Caenorhabditis elegans: one gene and its partner. The gene in region 1 interacts genetically with each later gene. Each region holds a gene or a part of one and is shown on either strand. Other genes may lie near its edges.

Region 1 (4,227 bases):
CTGAACGCATTGCTGTTGGCATGATTGCTGGCATTGTGGTTCACATTGTGCAGATTGGGAGACTGAAGCTTCCAGAATGATTGTGACAGCTTGTGGAGCAGCAGTAGTGGCAACTGGAGCTTGGCATGCAGATTGGCATTGCTGGCATTGTGGAGCAGATGGTTGCTGGCACTGTGGAGTACATTGTTGTTGGCACTGTTGAGTTTGTTGGCACGAAGTCTGACATTGTTGGCAAGCTGGTGCAGATTGCTGTTGACATTGTGGAGCACACTGTTGCTGACAAACTGGAGCAGCTTGTTGGCAGGTATTCTGGCACTGCTGGCACTGTGGAGCTGATGGTTGTTGGCATTGTGGAGCACACTGTTGTTGGCATTGTGGAACTGCTTGCTGGCAGGTGGTCTGGCATTGCTGGGTGCATTGCTGATTGCACTGTTGGGCTGGAACTTGTTGTTGAACACATTGTTGTTGGCATGATTGCTGGCATTGAGGAACACACTGAGCAGAGATTTCCATGTTAATCTTGATTATTTGTGGAGCGGCAGTAGTGGTTGGAGCACATTGTTGAACACATTGTTGCTGACATTGTGGCTGACATTGTTGAATTGGTTGAGTTTGAACACATTGCTGTTGGCACTGTTGTTGGCATTGTGGCACGCATTGAACTGCAGCTGGAGTCTGGACAACACAGGATTGTTCACAGGCTGGCATGCAGGATGGTTGACATTGAACTGGAGCTGGAGTAGTTGGAGTATAACAGGAAGAAGTCTGACAGCTTTGTTGGCATGTAGATTGACATTGACTAACAGATGGAGCAGATTGACATTGGTTCTGGCAAGACTGCTGACAAGCTGGGGCACATTGAGAAGCTTGAATTTGGTAGGTTTGTTGCTGAACTGGTTGGGCACATGAACAGGATTTCTGGACTGGAGCAGTGTTCTGACAGGAACAACTGTACTGTTGTGGTTGAGTATAGGTGGTTCGTTGGCAAGAGCAACTTGGTTGAACTCTTGGAGCACAGCCACAGGATTGGCGTTTATCGCGAATTGTTGTTGCCTGGAAATGATTTTTGTGAAATTTGACTGAAATCGTGGTCAATCGTGGTCGACTGAAATCGTGGAATATATAATCTTATGTCTGCAAGCAATGCTCAAGAAAAACAAATATTTGTTAAATTTGGGTACTTAGCCGATTTTTTTGGATCGCCGCTCAGCCCTGTTCAACAACTATTTAAAATGAACATTTGGCTCAACAATACTATTAGATGGCCATTATACCTCAATAAGGAAACAGCTTGAAACAAGAAGAGCTGCAATTGCGAAGAAGCGCATGATACGGTTCGAAAGGATTGGAACAGATGATTTTCTCTAGTTTCCAGGCCTTTTATACTCACACTGTATGGTTAACCAAAGAACATAAACCCTGAATTCCCGCCTATTTATCTTAATGTAAAAAATGATGCGGAGGAGATCAACACTTTGATGGAAGCTTAGTGAGCAAAATGATAAGTGCGCGAACAGGGAAAAAGTAGTTTTATTTATGTCGTAATGAGTGGTCTTGAAAGTCGATAAACTTAAAGTGTACTTGTGAAATCAAATGTTCATCTCAAAATGTAAAAGACAAATATTTACCAGCAGTACCTAAAAAGGTAAACGATAACTTTGGTACATATAGTTAAGCAGAAACTCGTTTCGGTCAAACACACACCGTATCAGCACATTCCATTCGACGGAACGCGCACCCAACCTTTTTTCAATCTTTGCAACTCTCCGTGCTCCCAAAAAATAGTGTGTAAAACCATGAGACGGCACACGTGTTCTTCGGATCATTTGCTATGCCTCCATTGCTATGTTTGCGCTCGTCATGGAGCCGGTTGATGGATAGAGTCTGATAAGTGGGAAGCAACTTTCCGGTATGTGTTCGATGGTTAGTGAAAAAGTGTAGGAGAAGGTTGGTATAAAAGTCTGAAAGGTTGACAAAAGGACATCAGTTGCCGTCTAGCAGCTCTTCAAGCATATTAACAATGCGCTTTATCGCAATTGCAGCTCTTATTGCTTCTAGCGTTCTACTTGCCGAAGTACGTTTCTTATCACTTACGAATCACTGTTGTAAAATACATTAATAATTATATTTATCTTACAATACCATATAATTTTCAGGCAACAACAATTCGCGATAAACGCCAATCCTGTGGCTGTGCTCCAAGAGTTCAACCAAGTTGCTCTTGCCAACGAACCACCTATACTCAACCACAACAGTACAGTTGTTCCTGTCAGAACACTGCTCCAGTCCAGAAATCCTGTTCATGTGCCCAACCAGTTCAGCAACAAACCTACCAAATTCAAGCTTCTCAATGTGCCCCAGCTTGTCAGCAGTCTTGCCAGAACCAATGTCAATCTGCTCCATCTGTTAGTCAATGTCAATCTACATGCCAACAAAGCTGTCAGACTTCTTCCTGTTATACTCCAACTACTCCAGCTCCAGTTCAATGTCAACCATCCTGCATGCCAGCCTGTGAACAATCCTGTGTTGTCCAGACTCCAGCTCCAGTTCAATGCGTGCCACAATGCCAACAACAGTGCCAACAGCAATGTGTTCAAACTCAACCAATTCAACAATGTCAGCCACAATGTCAGCAACAATGTGTTCAACAATGTGCTCCAACCACTACTGCCGCTCCACAAATAATCAAGATTAACATGGAAATCTCTGCTCAGTGTGTTCCTCAATGCCAGCAATCATGCCAACAACAATGTGTTCAACAACAAGTTCCAGCCCAACAGTGCAATCAGCAATGCACCCAGCAATGCCAGACCACCTGCCAGCAAGCAGTTCCACAATGCCAACAACAGTGTGCTCCACAATGCCAACAACCATCAGCTCCACAGTGCCAGCAGTGCCAGAATACCTGCCAACAAGCTGCTCCAGTTTGTCAGCAACAGTGTGCTCCACAATGTCAACAGCAATCTGCACCAGCTTGCCAACAATGTCAGACTTCGTGCCAACAAACTCAACAGTGCCAACAACAATGTACTCCACAGTGCCAGCAACCATCTGCTCCACAATGCCAGCAATGCCAATCTGCATGCCAAGCTCCAGTTGCCACTACTGCTGCTCCACAAGTTGTCACAATCATTCTGGAAGCTTCAGTCTCCCAATCTGCACAATGTGAACCACAATGCCAGCAATCATGCCAACAGCAATGCGTTCAGCAGCAACAACCAATGCAACAATGTGCTCCAGCTTGCACCCAATCTTGCTCTCAATCCTGTTCTGCTGCTCAACCAGCCCAGATGCCATGCCAGACACAATCAGTCAACTCCTGCTCGTGCCAGCAAAACTATTCTCCATGTGGAAATGGACAGTGTTGCAAGAGAAAGTAGACATCGAATGCGTAACTTTGACATCAGTTCTCTGTATATATGACACAATTTTTTTTCTTTTTTTTCACAATAACATTGCTTGAAATAATTTACTTCGAATACGGCATCCAAATAACTTTTTTTTAAATAATCATATCACCGAGCTTCAAATCTTTGAATCCAACAAGATTCAATTTAATGATTTTACACGACATATCCTCATTTCAAACAGTTATGTAAATCAAATAACGTCATGAAAACACTCCAAGTTACAAAAAAAATGCGATAAGAATTGGAAAAATGATGAGAGACAATCCATTCAGTCCAGAAGAACGCCTTACAAAATGGACACAATTTGCAATTGATCATGGAGTTTTGGAAGAGTTACACGTGGAAGGATCAAGATTAAATACAATTATTTATTATAATCTTGATGTTATTGCTTTTGTTCTTATAATTTTTGTAGTAATTCTTTACGTTTTCATTTGCGTGCTCAGATTTTTGTGTTGTAGAAAGGGAACACAATTTGCTTCTGAGGAGAAAATGTACTGACCACACGTTTATTGTCATGCTTCAGCGTCCTATCGAGAACATGTTAAACTACAGAAATAAAGTATTTTCGTATCTATTGTAACATTTGTTGCCTGATACCTTTGGAATGATACCGTATATCTTCTATTAGTAAAGCATGCAATATTGTTCGAGTTAGTTTTTCTCCCATTAAATAATTACTTAATTTCATCAATTCCAATACCAAAAAGAGAGCCGAATATCAAAAAGATAGAAACCGGTGTAACTGTGAGATGTAATTTTTAGAACATCGAATATAGTTCCCATTTTTTCCGATTCCTTGTTCAAAATATTTCAG
Region 2 (5,709 bases), on another chromosome or scaffold:
ATGTGGCCGAGTTTTTTCACATTCGCGGCCACGCAACGCAGAAATATGTACATGGGTACAGTAACCCCTCCTGTCGAGTTAAATATACTCTTATAGGAGAGAGCTCTTAACTATTCACATGTACGAAAAATAATAATATTTGCCAATTTTCTCGCTCTCAAAATTCCATTTGAAAGAGAGAAAAAACTGTTCTCGATACACGAAGAAACATGCGATATATGTTAATCATAAAACCTTCTAACTTTTTATGTCAGTTTCTATTCTCTTCTCGATTCTCTTTACTTACGAATTCTCTTTCTTCTTCTACCCTTCATCTGTTTTGCTCGTTGTGCAATTGTCAGGAGACATTTAATCCGAGTTAATCAAGAATTTTCGAAATTTATCTGAATCCGATTTTGTTTCTCTTCAAAGTCAGAAGAAATCATAAAAATAATATAAAAGAGGAAGAGGATTATACAAATTTAGAAACATTATTCATTCTTTTTAATCATGATATCTCAAAGGATGTTGTTTACTTCAACTTTTGAAAGGATTTTATAGATAAATTGTTATGATTATTTACTTGTTTTGTTTCTTCCTCCAGTATTTAATCTGTGGTCACTTCGTGGTCTTCAAGGCTTTAGGTTCAGCTCATTTTGGTTGTTTAATAGTAAGTCATATGATACGAAGATTCACAGAATGATTTGATAATAATAATAATACGAAATCTCTTTTTCTATAATATTCTCAGAATGTCATACTTCTATAGAATTTATAAATACATTATTACTGTTTTGAAAACCTTTTTTTCCTAATCTATTCGCCGTCAATTTGGCGTTCTTCTAACATTCAGTATTCGAAATCAATGTTCAAAATTTGCTTAGAGAACACCCCAAAATTAGGTTCCGTCCATATCTTGGCTTTTTTCGCCGCCAGATTCAGAAAAAAACTGATTTTCTGTGAGTTCTATTCTATTTTTTTAATTTCTTAAACAATTGGAAATGGTACAGTGTGTTATAAAATAGTTTATTTATTCTGGTTCCTCATGAGAGCACCTCAATAAAAAGTAGTGACGTACATCCATCTGAAACAAAAATAACAATATGACGCCTTCTTAGTAGTACTTATGTTAGTTTCTATTAATGGACTTTTTTTTAAAATAAAAACTCAAAATAGTCAAAGAAATTCTAAAAATGGACATTTGCTAAAATTTAAGAGAAACGATTTCAAAAGATGAAATTATACTTTCCTCCCAACTTTTTTGCTTTTGATAAATTGCTGGCCGAGTTATAACTATTTCTAGGTCACGTATCAGAAGCCGGGTGAGTCTTGAGATCTTCGTGATGCCTTGTCATATCTAAATGAACGAAACTTGAATAAATTAATTAGGAGTCATCGGCTTCATTGAGTTCAGAAAAATTCTGTATAAAACAAAATCAAGATTCAGGTAAATATCTAGATTTTCGATCATTTTGGAACCGCGTTCCTGATATCGAAAAAACTTCGAATCCATTTAAAAGTTGAATAAATCAAATGAAAACTTCCTCTCATTTTTCTTCATTTCTCTCTCTATTTTTCCTTGATTTTATAGGTGATGACGATTCTGATCAACACAAAAATCTTATCACAAACTGTTGTTTCTTATCATTTTTTACACGTTCATACCAGTTTTCATTCCGAGTTCTTGAATTTCATAATTCTTTCATTTCGCCTTTCTATGTAGATATTGAAACTCCGCCCATTTGAGTAGCTCACCTGACTCTTATGACTTACCAGAAGGTTCTATTATCATTTTGGATATAATTCTGTTTTCTGATTCAAATTTTTTTTGAATTTCGGCAATGCACAACGAAAAATATTAATTTCATATATAAAATCATCTGTACTATTTATTATTCTTTATCCCAAATCAGTCCTTTTTTGTGGTCGTTGCTTTTTAAGCTCGGCCCATTTTTTTGGATTTTATTCTAGCCTAACATCTCCTCCCATATTTTTTTTAATTCTTCGAAATTTCAGTTTTAAAACTACGAAAATGGACGATTTTCCTTCACCAGAACCTACTGATCCCAGACTTGAGGCAATGGCTCAAAAAGTGTTAGAAGAAACTATTATCACTGAAGGAGATGTATGTTTTTGAAGATTTGAAACTTTTTTTTTGAATTTTCAACACAAATAGTCTCGCTGGCTACTTTTAAAAATTAAAAAGCCATCTGCAAATTTTAAATTTCATATTCTAGGCCAGCCGGCGAGCAAGTAAGTGAACAAGAAACTTTAAAAAAGAGCAGAGTTGAGAGATACCGTATCTTGATCAAACATCAAATGTCCAGACATATTAGCGAATTTTTATTTTAAAATATTTAGAATCAACCTACATAAACATTAACTTATACGTTTTCTAATTTTAGAATGTGTCTCTCAAATTAGCCTTTTCTTTTAAAACAGGAAACAATTTTTTTTCAAAAATAGTAATACTTAAAGAAACTGAAAGGATATTTACGACAAAAGGTTTTAATGTATGTTGGAGACTCGAAAAGATCCAAAAAAAAAATAAAGAGAAAATTACAGGAAAAGAGAAAAGCCCATATCTTGTTTTTTAAATTTTGTTATAGTAAACTTTTCCTAAGAAATTCAAATCCTTAAAATTGCCCTATTTGAAGTGTCAAGCTATCCTCAACTATTTTTTAGGGAACAATCTACTGGGCTCTCAAAGTTACCCGATTACTCTCTAGAGTAGCTAAAAAACACCAGTGCTTTGAAGCTTTCTACGATGCCGTTATTAAAGGTGATCCAAAAACACGATGCTGTCCTGCACACAATGAGAAACTCATTGGAAACTTTGGACGAGCTATCATGTGTGTCTTGAGAGCATTCAGATTTCCGGTTATTCGATATGAATCTCAAGTGAAATCAATATTAACGTGTCGACATGCATTCAATTCCCATAGTCGGAATGTTTGTCTGAATCCGTATCATTATCGATGGGTTGAACTACCGACGTGCCAAGTTCCACCAATTATTGTAAATAAGGAATTGGATTACGGTGAACCTCCGATTCGGACTGAGGATGCACTGGATGATTGGAATCAAAAGGATTTGAAAGAGGAACAGGTGGTTGCAAGTTGGGATGTGCCAAATGTGACGATGAGAGGAGATGAAATTAAGGTTTGTTGAGAGATGATATCCCTTTTTGAACTCTTTCCAAAATGCAAAATCCAGTAAATAAGTTGCAATTAATCTTTTTTTTTCTTTAGAAATTTTGGAAATTTGCAAACTTACCAAAAACGTTGACTGAAATATTTGCACGTATTTCTACAAAACATCCACTGTCACCCCCTCACATTCAAAAATAAAAATTTCAGCTTCTCTATGATCGATATGCAGCTGAAAACGGAGATTTTCAATATATGAATTACGGAAATTTTGGCTCTTTTGATGGAAGTCCGTGTAGCTCTACCACGATGTCATTAGGATCATCTTTCGCATCGTTACTGCAACAAAGTAATCGACAAGACGACGAGGAACCCGGATATTATAGATCTGGACTCTCATCTCCAGCTAGGTACGAATTTCACTTTTTTGGAATTTTTTTGTTTTTACAATACTGATTCAACAATCTAAAGAACTGGCTAAACTGAAAGTAGAATTCGAAATTCGACCTAAAGGTTGAAAAAAAAATTAAATTTGGCGGTCGGGCCGACGAAACTGTTGAATATTGGAAAAAATTGAAATATTAGTTTAGATCTATAAAACTTTAAATTTACAGTCATGCAGCTTCTCCTCGAGAGTTTATTCCAAACGGAAATGATACAATAAGTCTGGATCAAGAAATGATGGATGATTCCGAAGTTAGTGACATCATGCATTCCGAGAATTTTTCATCAGAGAACAATGGAAACCGAAAGCCAACGTATGCAGATGGACGGCCTATCACACCAATTGAACCTCGACCACTCTATCGATCTTCGGCATTAGAACTTGGAGATCTGTCACGACAGGCTGGAATATATGAATGTGTAGAATATGAAGAGTCGCCGAGTTGGCTGAAATTAATTTATTATGAAGAAGGAACGATGATTGGAGAGAAAGCCGATGTAGAAGGGCATCACTGCCTGATCGATGGATTTACAGCTAGTCGCACTGACTCAGAAACCAGAAGGTTTGTATCATTGACAGAAGCCCTGGTCTAGAACTTACACGCATCTGAATTTTAACTACATTCACTAGTGTACACTGAACTAAAACATAAATTCAAGTAAATATCAAAATAACATCATTACAGCCGTTTCTCGCTTGGTTGGTACAACAATCCAAACCGCTCTCCACAAACGGCCGAAGTTCGTGGTCTCATTGGAAAGGGTGTTCGATTTTACTTGTTAGCTGGTGAAGTCTATGTAGAGAATTTGTGCAATATTCCTGTTTTTGTACAGTCAATCGGTGCAAATATGAAGAATGGTTTCCAATTGAATACTGTATCAAAGTTGCCTCCAACTGGAACTATGAAAGTTTTTGACATGAGATTATTCTCCAAACAGCTGAGAACAGCAGCTGAGAAGACATATCAAGGTGAGAGTGAATTAGTAATTTCTATTATATCATATTACTTTTCGTCCAAAGTACGGCTATTGTGCGATATATCAAAATTGTCAACTAAAAATAATTTATAAAAAGTTTTTGACATTTTTTGGTGTATAGTTTTTACCGATGCAACTTTCGGAGAATACGAATTCTCAAACCTTCTAGTCAGCTACATTTTTTTTCTTCCAACATTTCAGACGTCTACTGTCTCTCACGAATGTGCACAGTTCGTGTTTCGTTCTGCAAAGGTTGGGGAGAACACTATCGTCGTTCAACCGTCCTCCGATCGCCTGTTTGGTTTCAGGCTCATTTGAATAATCCGATGCATTGGGTCGATAGTGTACTCACTTGTATGGGAGCTCCACCACGTATATGTTCATCCAGAACTTAGCTTCTTTCTTTGCCAAAATCCTAATCTCCAATTTGCGTGTGATCAATTTTGTTGATAGAGAAAGGTTTTTATTTTACTCTAAAACATCAAAACGAGTTTTAAAATTTTTTATTTAAAAATTTAGATTTTAAACTTTTTCTGTGTATTTTTACATTGTTTTTGAGGGCTTTAGAACTGCTCGAGATTTCTTTTTGCAGCTTTTAAACGACTTATGTCAACTTTAAAAGTGTTTACAGTAGCCAAATATTCTAGAATCCTTGGAAATGTAATTTTGGTCTGATTTTTTCCGATCGAGCTTGATGGATTAAATTTAATATTATCAAAAAAAAAAACACTTTCAAAAAGCTGCCAGGATATTCACTTAAATATAAACCCCCTAAAATCCTTGGAAATCATCAAAATAGTTATCCGAGCAGTTTTACGTCCGTCGAAAGTAGTGCACAGTTACGCTTAAAATGTTTCAGATCGAAATTTTATTTATCCAGAAAGTGGCTTAGAGTTTTACAGTGATCTGTTTTCAATAAGTAATTTAGTATTTAAAAAAAGTTTCGTTTTGATATTGGAGCGTGAAATCAAAACCTTTTCTTGCGAGAGTGGAGCACTTTACTTGTGAAAGGATCGGTTGAAAGGAGGAGGTTCTAAGAATTGTAGATCTAAATCAAACGTAGGCGGCAATTGCCAAATTTGCCACGTTATTTGGAAGAATTTTCTGAAATTGAGTACTTCAAACTGATTTTAGACAAAAAAATCCCTAAATTTGTTCG

What was found.
Region 2: of abu-1 (region 1) and daf-8, changing one enhances a phenotype caused by changing the other (phenotypic enhancement), as found in Caenorhabditis elegans (one study listed by BioGRID).

Annotation. Positions count from the first base shown.
Region 1 is NC_003283.11:10,379,579-10,383,805, reverse strand, and holds abu-1 (Activated in Blocked Unfolded protein response), read left to right. Parts: upstream 1-1,979; 5' UTR 1,980-2,020; coding exon 2,021-2,074; intron 2,075-2,156; coding exon 2,157-3,380; 3' UTR 3,381-3,466; downstream 3,467-4,227. Other genes in the region: pqn-2 (Prion-like-(Q/N-rich)-domain-bearing protein), read right to left, coding at 1-1,053, 1,275-1,328.
Region 2 is NC_003279.8:8,583,792-8,589,500, reverse strand, and holds daf-8 (Smad protein daf-8), read left to right. Parts: upstream 1-1,993; 5' UTR 1,994-2,011; coding exon 2,012-2,104; intron 2,105-2,664; coding exon 2,665-3,141; intron 3,142-3,338; coding exon 3,339-3,538; intron 3,539-3,742; coding exon 3,743-4,135; intron 4,136-4,258; coding exon 4,259-4,542; intron 4,543-4,751; coding exon 4,752-4,945; 3' UTR 4,946-5,077; downstream 5,078-5,709. UniProt on the Caenorhabditis elegans protein: Probably a receptor-regulated SMAD (R-SMAD) that is an intracellular signal transducer and transcriptional modulator activated by TGF-beta-like daf-7 signaling.